Linked DNA regions of Callithrix jacchus. The protein of the gene in region 1 interacts with the protein of each later gene in a pairwise test. Links are inferred from orthologs where the notes say so. Each region holds a gene or a part of one and is shown on either strand. Other genes may lie near its edges.

What was found.
Region 2: the proteins of REL (region 1) and ATG9A interact in binary tests that used the Homo sapiens proteins (3 or more experiments, as listed by UniProt). The two-hybrid records come from large-scale screens. The link is inferred for Callithrix jacchus from reciprocal best matches to the Homo sapiens genes REL and ATG9A.
Region 3: the proteins of REL (region 1) and ASAP3 interact in binary tests that used the Homo sapiens proteins (3 or more experiments, as listed by UniProt). The two-hybrid records come from large-scale screens. The link is inferred for Callithrix jacchus from reciprocal best matches to the Homo sapiens genes REL and ASAP3.

What each region holds. Positions count from the first base shown.
Region 1 is NC_133515.1:53,248,073-53,251,822, reverse strand, and holds the start of REL (proto-oncogene c-Rel), read left to right. Parts: upstream 1-1,073; 5' UTR 1,074-1,327; coding exon 1,328-1,337; intron 1,338-3,750. UniProt on the Homo sapiens protein: Proto-oncogene that may play a role in differentiation and lymphopoiesis.
Region 2 is NC_133507.1:140,966,430-140,970,179, reverse strand, and holds the start of ATG9A (autophagy-related protein 9A), read left to right. Parts: upstream 1-1,137; 5' UTR 1,138-1,221; exon of another isoform or gene 1,222-1,573; 5' UTR 1,574-1,738; intron 1,739-2,256; exon of another isoform or gene 2,257-2,259; 5' UTR 2,260-2,308; intron 2,309-2,688; 5' UTR 2,689-2,717; coding exon 2,718-2,820; intron 2,821-2,929; coding exon 2,930-2,973; intron 2,974-3,750. Other genes in the region: tRNA endonuclease ANKZF1, read right to left, coding at 351-498. UniProt on the Homo sapiens protein: Phospholipid scramblase involved in autophagy by mediating autophagosomal membrane expansion. Cycles between the preautophagosomal structure/phagophore assembly site (PAS) and the cytoplasmic vesicle pool and supplies membrane for the growing autophagosome.
Region 3 is NC_133508.1:60,176,654-60,179,191, reverse strand, and holds part of ASAP3 (arf-GAP with SH3 domain, ANK repeat and PH domain-containing protein 3), read left to right. Parts: coding exon 1-148; intron 149-1,228; coding exon 1,229-1,460; intron 1,461-2,017; coding exon 2,018-2,108; intron 2,109-2,319; coding exon of another isoform or gene 2,320-2,373; exon of another isoform or gene 2,374-2,462; intron 2,463-2,538. UniProt on the Homo sapiens protein: Promotes cell proliferation.

The DNA.
Region 1 (3,750 bases):
CCCTGGCTTTTAACTGTGTCTTTTCTTTTACCAGCATTCTGAAGTACTGTATGTTGAAGTAATTCTCTGAACCCCAAATTCTTCAGCTATAAAATTAGGAATAATAAATGTCATAGATGAGGTATAGAAATTATCTGACCTATAGCAGGTACTATTCAAATGAAAGTAACGAAGTTATCCTAGGTCCTTTAATGGCCCTAAATGTTTGCTCCATTTCCCCTTTTCTTGGTATCTATGTGAAATCTCGGAATAAGGTGTCCACTTCACTAAACTTGAGTACACTGCGTAATGAGACAACCAACTCGAAGTGCAGACCTTTTGAGTTTAAACGGGTTTCAGCAGGTAAAATACATAAAGTTCACAGTGCCCTCGCAATTTAGGTAGACGAAAAAAAATCAGCCGGGGGGTGGGGTAGCTCCCCGTATGCAAATGTAGGAATTACAGAAGAAGACAGGCCCCCGCGCTACCGCACTTCCCCCTCCACAGTCCCGCGCGCTGGCGCGGGGGTGGAGATTTGCATGTGCGAAATCGGGAATAGGGGGAACCACCTCTCGAAAACCCCGGCCGTCGCCCTCCCGGGCTGCCAGGATCAGCCCCACTTGGCCGCCCGACGCGCCCCCAAAGGCTCCCGGGCGGCCGGCCCTCTCTACGTCACCCGCACCCTTCCGCCCGCTCCTGAACTTTAAACTACACTCGGAAGAACAACCTGGAGGAGGGGGATTTCTTAGGAGCCGGCGGCCTTCTCACGCTGCGAGCCGTCACCTCCCGGCGCCCACCGTTCCCTGCGCTCCCGAAGCTCCCTAGGTTCCCGCAGCCTCGACCCCCTGCCAAGACCACCACCACCACCACCGCCGCAGTGGCAGCAGCAGCTCTGGGGGCGTACGCGCGGAGGCGGGCAAAGAGCGTGAGCGTGCGCGGGGGGGGGGGGGGCCGCGAGGACGCGACGCCCCGCCCCACGCCTCCGGGTGAAGGCGGCCGCGTCGGGTATACGTCAGCCGCGGGAAATTCCCTCCCGCCAAGCAGCCCGCCTCTCGGCCGGGCGGGGAATCGGTTCTCGCCCCGCTCCGCCCCCTGCCCCTGGCTCCCGCAAGGTGGACAGGCGACGCAGGGCGACCCGGAGCGCAGGAATTCAGGGGGTGGGAAGGTGTGATCCTCAAACCCAACCGAGGGCGGGAAGAAGGAGGAGGACCCTGGGGTGGTCGGGGGACTGGGGGCCCCACCGGCACAGGTCCCTCGGCCTCCTGATTGACTGACTGACGGACTGACTGCGGCCGCCTCCGGCCGGGACGCTGGAAGCTGCCTGCGGGAAGGCGCGGGGAGCGGAGCCATGGCATCCGGTGAGTGTTACCGGGGGAAGGAGCTCTTCTGGGGATCCTGCCGCTGTGAGTTTAGGGAGCTTAGTTTTGGCTGGGGCGCGTTCTGTCTTTGAAATGTTATGTGATAAAATTGTCAGCTTTTTAAAAAGTCACCTGGTTCAGGGTTTGCGTCCGAAATCCAAGCCACGCTCTGTAATTTGATCCTGTTGTCATAAGCAAGAACCTTAGAAATTGCCAACGACTTTAGGATTAGGGAAGTCATAATCGAACTAAAGGAGTACGAGGAGTTCCCATACTTAAAAATGGGTATGTATTGAAGTGGTGGTTTTATGTTTTAGAACAAGAATGAGGAACCTTCAGACCTCGGGCAAGCTCTCTCCCCCTTTTTAGTTTAATTTCATCAGATGCAAAGAGGTGATCCCCCTTGTACTGACAGTTGTACAAAATGTGGCGCGGCTTTAAAAATCATCCGTGGTATTTTAACACGGATTTAAAAATCCGTGGTATTTTAAGTTTTAATGTTGCTTCGACCAACTGTGGGCCGGACACGGTGGCTCATGTCTGTAATCCAAGCACTTTGGGAGGCCGAGGCGAGCGGCTCACCTGAGGTCGGGAGTTCGAGACCACCCTGGGCAACATGGTGAGACCCCGTCTCTAATAAAAATACAAAAATTAGCCCGTAGTGGTGGCGCACGCCTGTGATCCCAGTTATTCGGGAGGCTGAAGCAGGAGAATCGCTAGAACCCGGGAGGTGGAGGTTGCAGTGAGCCGAGATCGCGGCCCTGCACTAAAGCCTGGGGGACCAAGCGAGACTGTATTTAAAAGAAAAAAAAATGTGAAGTTTTTATTGTGAGATAAAGCACAAGGTTTCTAATCTGACGAATAGAGACGTTGAGTCCCCGCTCCTCCCGGCTAAAAATAAGGGAAAAGGGAGTTTTAGAACATCGTGCTTTTAAATAGTAAGTAGGATTGAATACAGCTTTATTACTTTTAAATATATAATTTCCCTTAATAAATGCTCGAATCTCTTCCTTCCTCTCTCTCTTATACATAAGTTTATAAGAAACATTGCAAGGCAAGGAAGAGTCTCGTGTATACACAGACATGGTTTGGGGCTGCCTGTAGTTTAAGGTTAGGGGCGTAGGGGAGCCGGAGCTGGGGCCGGGAGATAAATCAAGTAACCTGGGTTCGATTTGGACTTTTACCAGGATTTTGGCAAGGTGAGTGGGGAGCGCTTTCCAGACAGAGGAAGCAGCGTGAGCAGAGGCAGGAAGGGCTAAACACATATATTAAATGCTGTACTAAGAGAATGAAGAGGGGGCCCCGTTTCTGAACTTGACTCCCATCCTCAAACTGCCTGGTTCAGTGACTCTTAGAAGAAAGCCGATGTCTAGTAGAGAAGAGGAAGTCGAAGCTTAAAGAATCTCTTTAAAAGGTTGAGCAAAACAATGCTGTAGCTATTGCTGTAGGCAGAAAAGGAAATTGGGGTGTTTCACTTGACATTTGATTTCAGTTTGTGGTTGTGAGAATACAAGTGTAGTTTAAAATATTTCAACTTTCCCTTTACGTGCTTAAGTGACCCCAAACTTTCAGATAATTCTGTACGTTTGTGAATTCAAAGCATGTGTAGATTGTAAGTGCTAACTAAGATGACTTCAAATATTTTGTTAATTTATTGGTTATCAGAAAGATTTTGTTTGGAAGTAATGAAGAATACCTAACGTAAGTAAGAAAGTTCAGCCTTCTGGCGATTTAATCAAACATTACTAATATATTGCATGAATGTAATACTTCTAATTTTTTCAAATGCGAGAGAAAACAACCATTTCTATATAGACTATTCTAAGATTCACAGGATTTTAAAATGTGTTACAATTTAAATTTGTTCATTGACACTGTATTTTGTGCTGTTGTGAGGACCAAGGATTCCCTAAATGTAAGGAGGAAATGTTTAAAGAAATGGAAAGTTTTAAAGGTTTGGAAGTTGAAGGGTGATTTAACTTTTTGTTTTTTGGTCTTTTCTGAATAGTTGCATTAAAATGGGACTATTTAAAATGTAACAAGTTATTTAAACTGTAATTCAGTTATTAGAAAACTGTCAGGCCTGGAATTTAAAAAAATGATTAAACGAATCTGTGTACTTTTCCTTAATCTGTTATATAAAGACCTTAGAGATAGAAAAAGATTCGCTAATGAAATTCTAAATTCCCATTCTGTTTTGAAACAGTAATTTAACCGGAAGAGTGACCAAAAAAAATTGCTTAGTTTTTCATTGCCTAATTTAGATTCTGTTGGTAGTAAGGTAGCATTAAAACTCAAAAAGTACTTTTATTCATTACAAAGCGTTTAAGAATATTTCTTCATTTCTCACGAGATATCATATATGAATAGGTATATGTAGTTGAATATGTGATATCTATAATGTAAAAGTAAC
Region 2 (3,750 bases), on another chromosome or scaffold:
GGTAACAACAGCAAAACTCCGTCTCAAAAAAAAAAAAAAAAAAAAAAAAAAAATATATATATATATATATATATAGAGAGAGAGAGAGAGAGAGAGAGAGAGAAAGTTTGAAGTGTTTTTGAAGCCAGTGGTGTTAAAGTGAGGAGACATATGCAATAGCAAGACTTCTTTGATAACAAGGGTTGTGCTGGAAATTACCCAGAGATTAAATGAATTTAATCAAGCAGAAAGATAAATAATTTGGCCTCCTAAGCTCGGGAACCAGTAAGAATGTGTTCCGTGAACGGGCAATACACTCTAAGGAGCCCTGCCACATTTCACATAGGTCCACTCCAAATCTTCCCAGATACCTGGACAGGAAGAACGCGGAGCACGAGCCAGAGCCTCACCGGGCGCATGGCTCGCCAGGCTCAGGCCCTGAAGAACCGGAGCATCCGCGCTGAGGTCAAACAGGGAGATGGAAGCAGGAGCCGGGGCTGCATCTGGAGCTGGTGACATGGCTGAGCAGAAATTATTTAGCAGCAGCTCCTGAAGCAGAAAGCGAGTAAGAAACACAGCTTCCCCAAACGAGATCCTACTGCCGCGTCTCCTGCTTGCCTGACTTGGTTTCTCCTGCACCGCAAGGCTTCTCGTCCCTCATCCTGCTACCAGGAGTCAGCTGTGAGATGACTACCTTGACCCCAAGCCGCTTTCTCAAACCCCCGTCCCGGCCCACAAAATAATGAAATACAGGGGAGCATCCAGCTCTCAAATGAATCCAACAGAGTTAAAAATCACTGAGGTTGCCTAGCCGAACTTTCTTCGTTACCCATGCGACCAGCAATGACGGGCCCACAGCAACTCGCCCACGCCCTTAGAAGCCGCACCAAAAGTCCCGGGAGCTGAGCAGCACGCACGTCCACAGGTCGATAGTCGGATTTCTGCAACACAACAGTCCCCGTCACTACGGAGCAGCAAAGAGGACAACCAGTGTCGTCCGCACCTGAGCCCCGCCCCACGTAGAGCACACTATTGGGCCGCTGACGGCCTAAGACCCGCCTCGAGCCCTTATCCCCGCCCCTTAAGCCAAGAATTGGCCGTTGTGTCTCCACCCCCTGCGCTTATTGGCCAGCCTGGCTGCGGGTGACAGTGAGTGGCAGACACCAGGCCTAGCGCTCCGGGTCTGGCCGAGCCGAGCCGGGCCGGCGGAGCCCTGGAATCACCCGGGTCACTGTTCCTGAGGTGAGACCTGAGACAGGTTATTGGAATCCCAGGGCTCGTGTCTGGCTTTGCCAGGGGTGCTTGCGGAGCCCTAAGTGAGCTCGCGGAGAGTAACGGGGGAAGGGGCGCCGCTGGCGGGGCGGGGGCGCGCAGCCGGAATGTTTTGATTGCGGGCGCGCGCGGACGAGAGCGCGCGCGGGCGACGAGGCCGCGCGTGAGGTTGTCCGCTGTTGGTAGCTGGGAACCCTTGGCCTGGGGCCGGGCGACCCTGGGGCGAGGTGGAGTCCGGTCGCCACGGTTGGGTGTGGGGAGGCAAGCCAGCCCACCCAGGGTATCAGCTGTAGGGCTGGCTCGATCCCTGCAATATCCGCAGGAACCCCTGAGCCCAGGCCCTGCCGGCTGGGGCTCCACGGGCCCTGGTCCACACTGACCCTGTGAGTGGTGACTTCCCTGAGCTTCAGGACTCTCACTAGCCCAGGGAATCCCACCGGGGCCAGCCTGGGCCAAGATCCAAGGCCCGGAGGGGCTGCACGGACAGGTGAGTACCACCTTGACCGACCATGCCTGGCTCCCACGAGGGAACCCACAAATGCCCCTAGGATCGGGGGTCAACACTGACCCCGTCAAGGTTTCCCATCCAGCAGCTCTGCCCACCTGCTGGGTCTTTGGTGCTCGGGAAGCAGGAGACGGGGTTGACCAGAAAGGTCCTCTTCAGGAAAGACTCTATTGGGGTTTTGTGGACCCTGAGAAGTATGTCATTTCTGAGGCTGAGATGGGGCAATGGAGAAACAGTCCAGAGGGGTCCCTGGCCTCAGACCTGTACCGACTTACTCTCCATGGGGTCCCTAAGTTACTTCTTGAGACCCCAGAGTTGGAAGAGTGGCCCTGTTTAGCATGGTCAGAGGAAGTGCTCGTAGTCCTGGCTGGAAGGGTGCTTCTTCCCCACTGCAGCCTTCCTGCCCCGTGCTTGGCCTCCTCTTGGTGGGGTGTGGACGGTTGGGAGGGTCGGGTTCTTTTTAATCCCCACTCTCTGGGGCCTGACATCTTCTCCCCCAGCAGCTGCAGAGCATCGAGGGCTGGAGTGGAGCACACACTGTCCATGGAGCTGGTAGGGCCATATGCTTTTCTCAAACATTTGTTTACAAAATGCTTCCAAATTGCCAGTCTCTTGGGAGACCAGGGTTCCCAGGATGGGCAGGGGAGGAACTCTTCTATCCATTAATTAGAAGATGAAACAGCCCCCAACAAAGGGGCCGATCCTGGATTTGGGCCAGGAAGGCAGCAGTAGACACCCAGACTGGCCAGAGTTAAGGCCTCCCAAGTCCTGAGCTTATGGCCTTCCTTGTATTACTACTCCTCTTCCTCTCCAAGGAGGCTGGGAGTGGAGACAAAGCTGAAGGGTACTTTCTCAGTCCTTTTGGCAGTAGGCTGGGCAGCCAGGGGCAGCAGCTGGGACTGAATCAGGGTCTCTTTCCTCCTCATTGGCAGGTGGTCAAGGTGGACAGGGGGTGGTGGTGATGGCGCAGTTTGATACTGAATACCAGCGCCTAGAGGCCTCCTACAGTGATTCACCCCCAGGGGAGGAGGACCTCTTGGTCCACGTCGCTGAAGGGAGCAAGTGTGAGTTCTTGGACATGCCAGCCAAGGGGAGAGTTGATGGAAGAGCACTGAGGGAGCAAGGGGCTTGTGTTCCTTCAAAGCTCTGACCTCTCTGTTCCTGTGCCCACAGCACCTTGGCACCATATCGAAAACCTTGACCTATTCTTCTCTCGAATATCCTTTGTGTCTCTGAGTTGGAGCTTGGGGACCTTTAATGTCTCTCTAAGCCTGGTCTCTGGTGGGAAGGGGGGGTAGGTTTGACTATAATCCCTGGAAGGGGTAATGGAGCTCATCCTGAGGCTGAAAGGGGCTGGTGAAATCACCATTAAGTAATGATAGCCCATATTTACCAAGATCTGTTCCTGTGTCCTCTCTGTGTTGTTAATTTATAGAAACCTTTCTAAGGGTGAGCCTCCTTTTTTTTTTTTTTGAGATGGAGTCTCAGGCCAGGTGTGGTGGCTCATGCCTGTAATCCAAGCAATTTGGAGGCCAAGGCAGGCGGATCACCTGAGGTCGGGAGTTCAAGACCAGCCTGACCAACATGGTGAAACCCCGTCTTTATTAAAAAATAAATAAATAAAATGAGATGGAGTCACTCTCTCTTGCTGCTGGAGTGCAGGGGCAATCTCAGCTCAATGCAACCTCCACCTCCCAGGTTCAAGCAATTCTCCTGCCTCAGTCTCCCACATAGCTGGAATTATAGGCAAATGCCACAAAGCCCAGCTATTTTTTGTATTTTTCGTAGAGACAGGGTTTCACCATGTTGGTAAGGCTGATCTTGAACTCCTAACCTCAAGTAATCCACCCACCTTGGCCTCCCAAAGTATTGGGATTACAGGCATAAGCCACCACGCCCAGCCTAGCCTCTTTTTTTGATGGGCTGTTAATAATCGTAGTAAGTAATGTCTTTTGACTCATTCTGTGTCAGCTCTATGTTAAATGCTTTACATG
Region 3 (2,538 bases), on another chromosome or scaffold:
CTGGACATCAGCAACAAGACCTACGAGACTATCGCCAGCTTAGGAGCAGCCAACCTTCAGGGCGAGAGTGAGGAGTGTCCCCCGCCCTTGCCCATCAAAAACTCTTCTCGGACCATGGTCCAAGGGTGTGCAAGACGCGCCAGTGGAGGTACAGTTGGATGCCCAGAAAAATGCTCACCATGCCATTCCCAGAGGGTCTGTGTATGCCGGGGCACTGAGCTGAGTGCATATATTAGTCCATAGCATCCTCAAAATGACCTCCAGAGAGGGGTTCTCATCTTCCCCTCTTTTACCTTACAGGTAAAAGAACAGAGGTGTTAAGTCACATGCTTAAGATCCCACAGCTAATAAGTCTCTGATGTAGAATTCGAATCCCAGACCATATTATTCCAAATTCCTCAATGCTTCACTTAGGAGAGAGAAGGATTTATTGAGCATGTACTTCATCCTGAGTCCTTTGAGGGCTAGAAAGACACAGACTAGGAGGGGAGGTAAAAACTGGAATACAGTTCATTATAATACAAGGCACAATGTGATATAGCATGTAGATCTCCAAAGGACAGGGACTTTAAGTGTTTTGTTGAAAACAGTTTGTCCAGCACCTAGTGCAGAGCCTGGCTGTTCTCAATAACTATTTGTCAAATGAAGAAACAGACTTGTTCTGGGAGGTTAGGGGAGGGAGGGAGCATGTCCTGCTAGGATTGGGGGTTGGCTTAGGAAGGCTTCCTGGTGGGGGTAGTATCTGAGTGAGCCTGAGGGATGAGCAGAAGAATCCAAACTGAGGACAGAGTGTGAGCACAAGTAAAAAAGTGAGTTAGCCTGGCCCTGGCAGCCGCGAATGAAGGCTCTAGTTGAAGAATACTGGACAGCTAGAAGGGGAGAGAACCATAAGAGATGTTAGGCCAGGTGTGGTGGCTCATGCCTATGATTGAGGCAGGTGGATCACCTGAGGTAAGGAGTTTGGGACGCCTGGCAAACATGATGAAACCCTGTCTCTGCTAAAAATGTAAAAACTAGCCAGGCATGGTAGCACACCTGTAATGCCAGCTACTTGGGAGGCTGAGGTAGGAGAATCGCTTGAACCCGGGAGGCAGAGAGTCTGGGTGATAGAGTGAGACTCTGTCTCAAAAAAAGAAGAAAGAAAAGAGAGATCCTAGAGGCCAGAGACTACTTTGAGGTTGGGCACAGAGCAAGTGGTAAAGACAGGCTTCATCATTTCTGATTCCAGATCGTTCTGAAGTCCCCAGCCTGAGTTCAGATGCCTCTGAGGCCCCTGAGAGCCTGGGCAGTCCAGCCTCCTCCTCCTCCTCCTCCAGCCTCATGAGCCCCACGGACCCTGGGGGTCCCAGCCAAGCCCCACCCAGCTCTGAAGATGACCTCCGGGAGCCCCCAGGCACCTCCAGACCCAGCCTGACATCCGGGACCACCCCTTCAGAGATGTATCTCCCCGTCAGGTTCAGGTTGGTGAGGGCCCAGTTGTGCAACCAGGGCAAATCCCGTGAATTCTCTGAGCATCCATTGATTTCCACACCTCTATAGCGTACCTGCCTACAGACTGGGTCACACTCTGGGCCCATGACTTATGCAGAAGTGCTGGACCCTGAGACCCCTTCCCCCTTCACAAACTTGCTCCCAAGTCCTGCATGAAGAGCTGAGGAGGAACCAGGGATCCTGCCTGCTGATGCTAGAGTAGAGGAGGGTTAGTCCTACCTGTGTGGCTTGTTCTAGGGGCTCCCAGTGGCATCTTCACTGTCCCCACCTCCAACCCAGGATCCAGTCTTCTCCCTTCCTTGCAAACCCATTCAGTCTGGAATTTGGAGAGAAGTAGACCTGGGGATATCCCCAGAGCCCTCTGGAGGTCAATTCCATGGGCCTGTGATGGACCTGGCCTGGGGGACTTGTGGACTCTACCCACCCATCCTAAGCCCCCAGACTGGCTCTGTTCCTGAGCCCTTTCTCCCAACTCTGAAGAACTCTTGGGACACCAGGATCACATTGGCCTTTCCCTGCCTTCCAGCTCTGAGAGCACTCGCTCCTATCGGCGGGGGGCACGGAGCCTGGAAGATGGTTCCTCAGCCAGGCAGCCTCTGCCCAGAAGGAACATGCCGGTAGGAAATCTGGGACCATGGTTTGAGGGGTGGTGGCAGGGTACCTGGGAGGCAGAGTTAATTAAAATTGAGTAGGCATACTGGGGAGGGAGACCTTCCCGTGATTGGGGTACAAATGGACCCAAGCAGCCACAGTTTGGCCAGTCTCTGTCATGGTACCCAGCATGGTTTGACTAGTCCCTGTCCTGGTTCTCCTCTTTCCCTGCTCTAGCCCAAGGCTGGGATGACGAGGCCCAAGCTTTGGCTTCTCCCCAGGGGAGTATGAGGAAAGTTGTGTTGGCCAGGCCAGTCACTCAGAAAAGGCATCACTTCCTTGCAGAAGAGGCAGGATTAAGGTAGCTGTGTACCAGCCCTTGTTTGCCTAACTCTCCCCTTGTTCATAAGTCTTCTGGAATCCACAGGGACTTGAAGATCTCAGGCATAGAGGGAT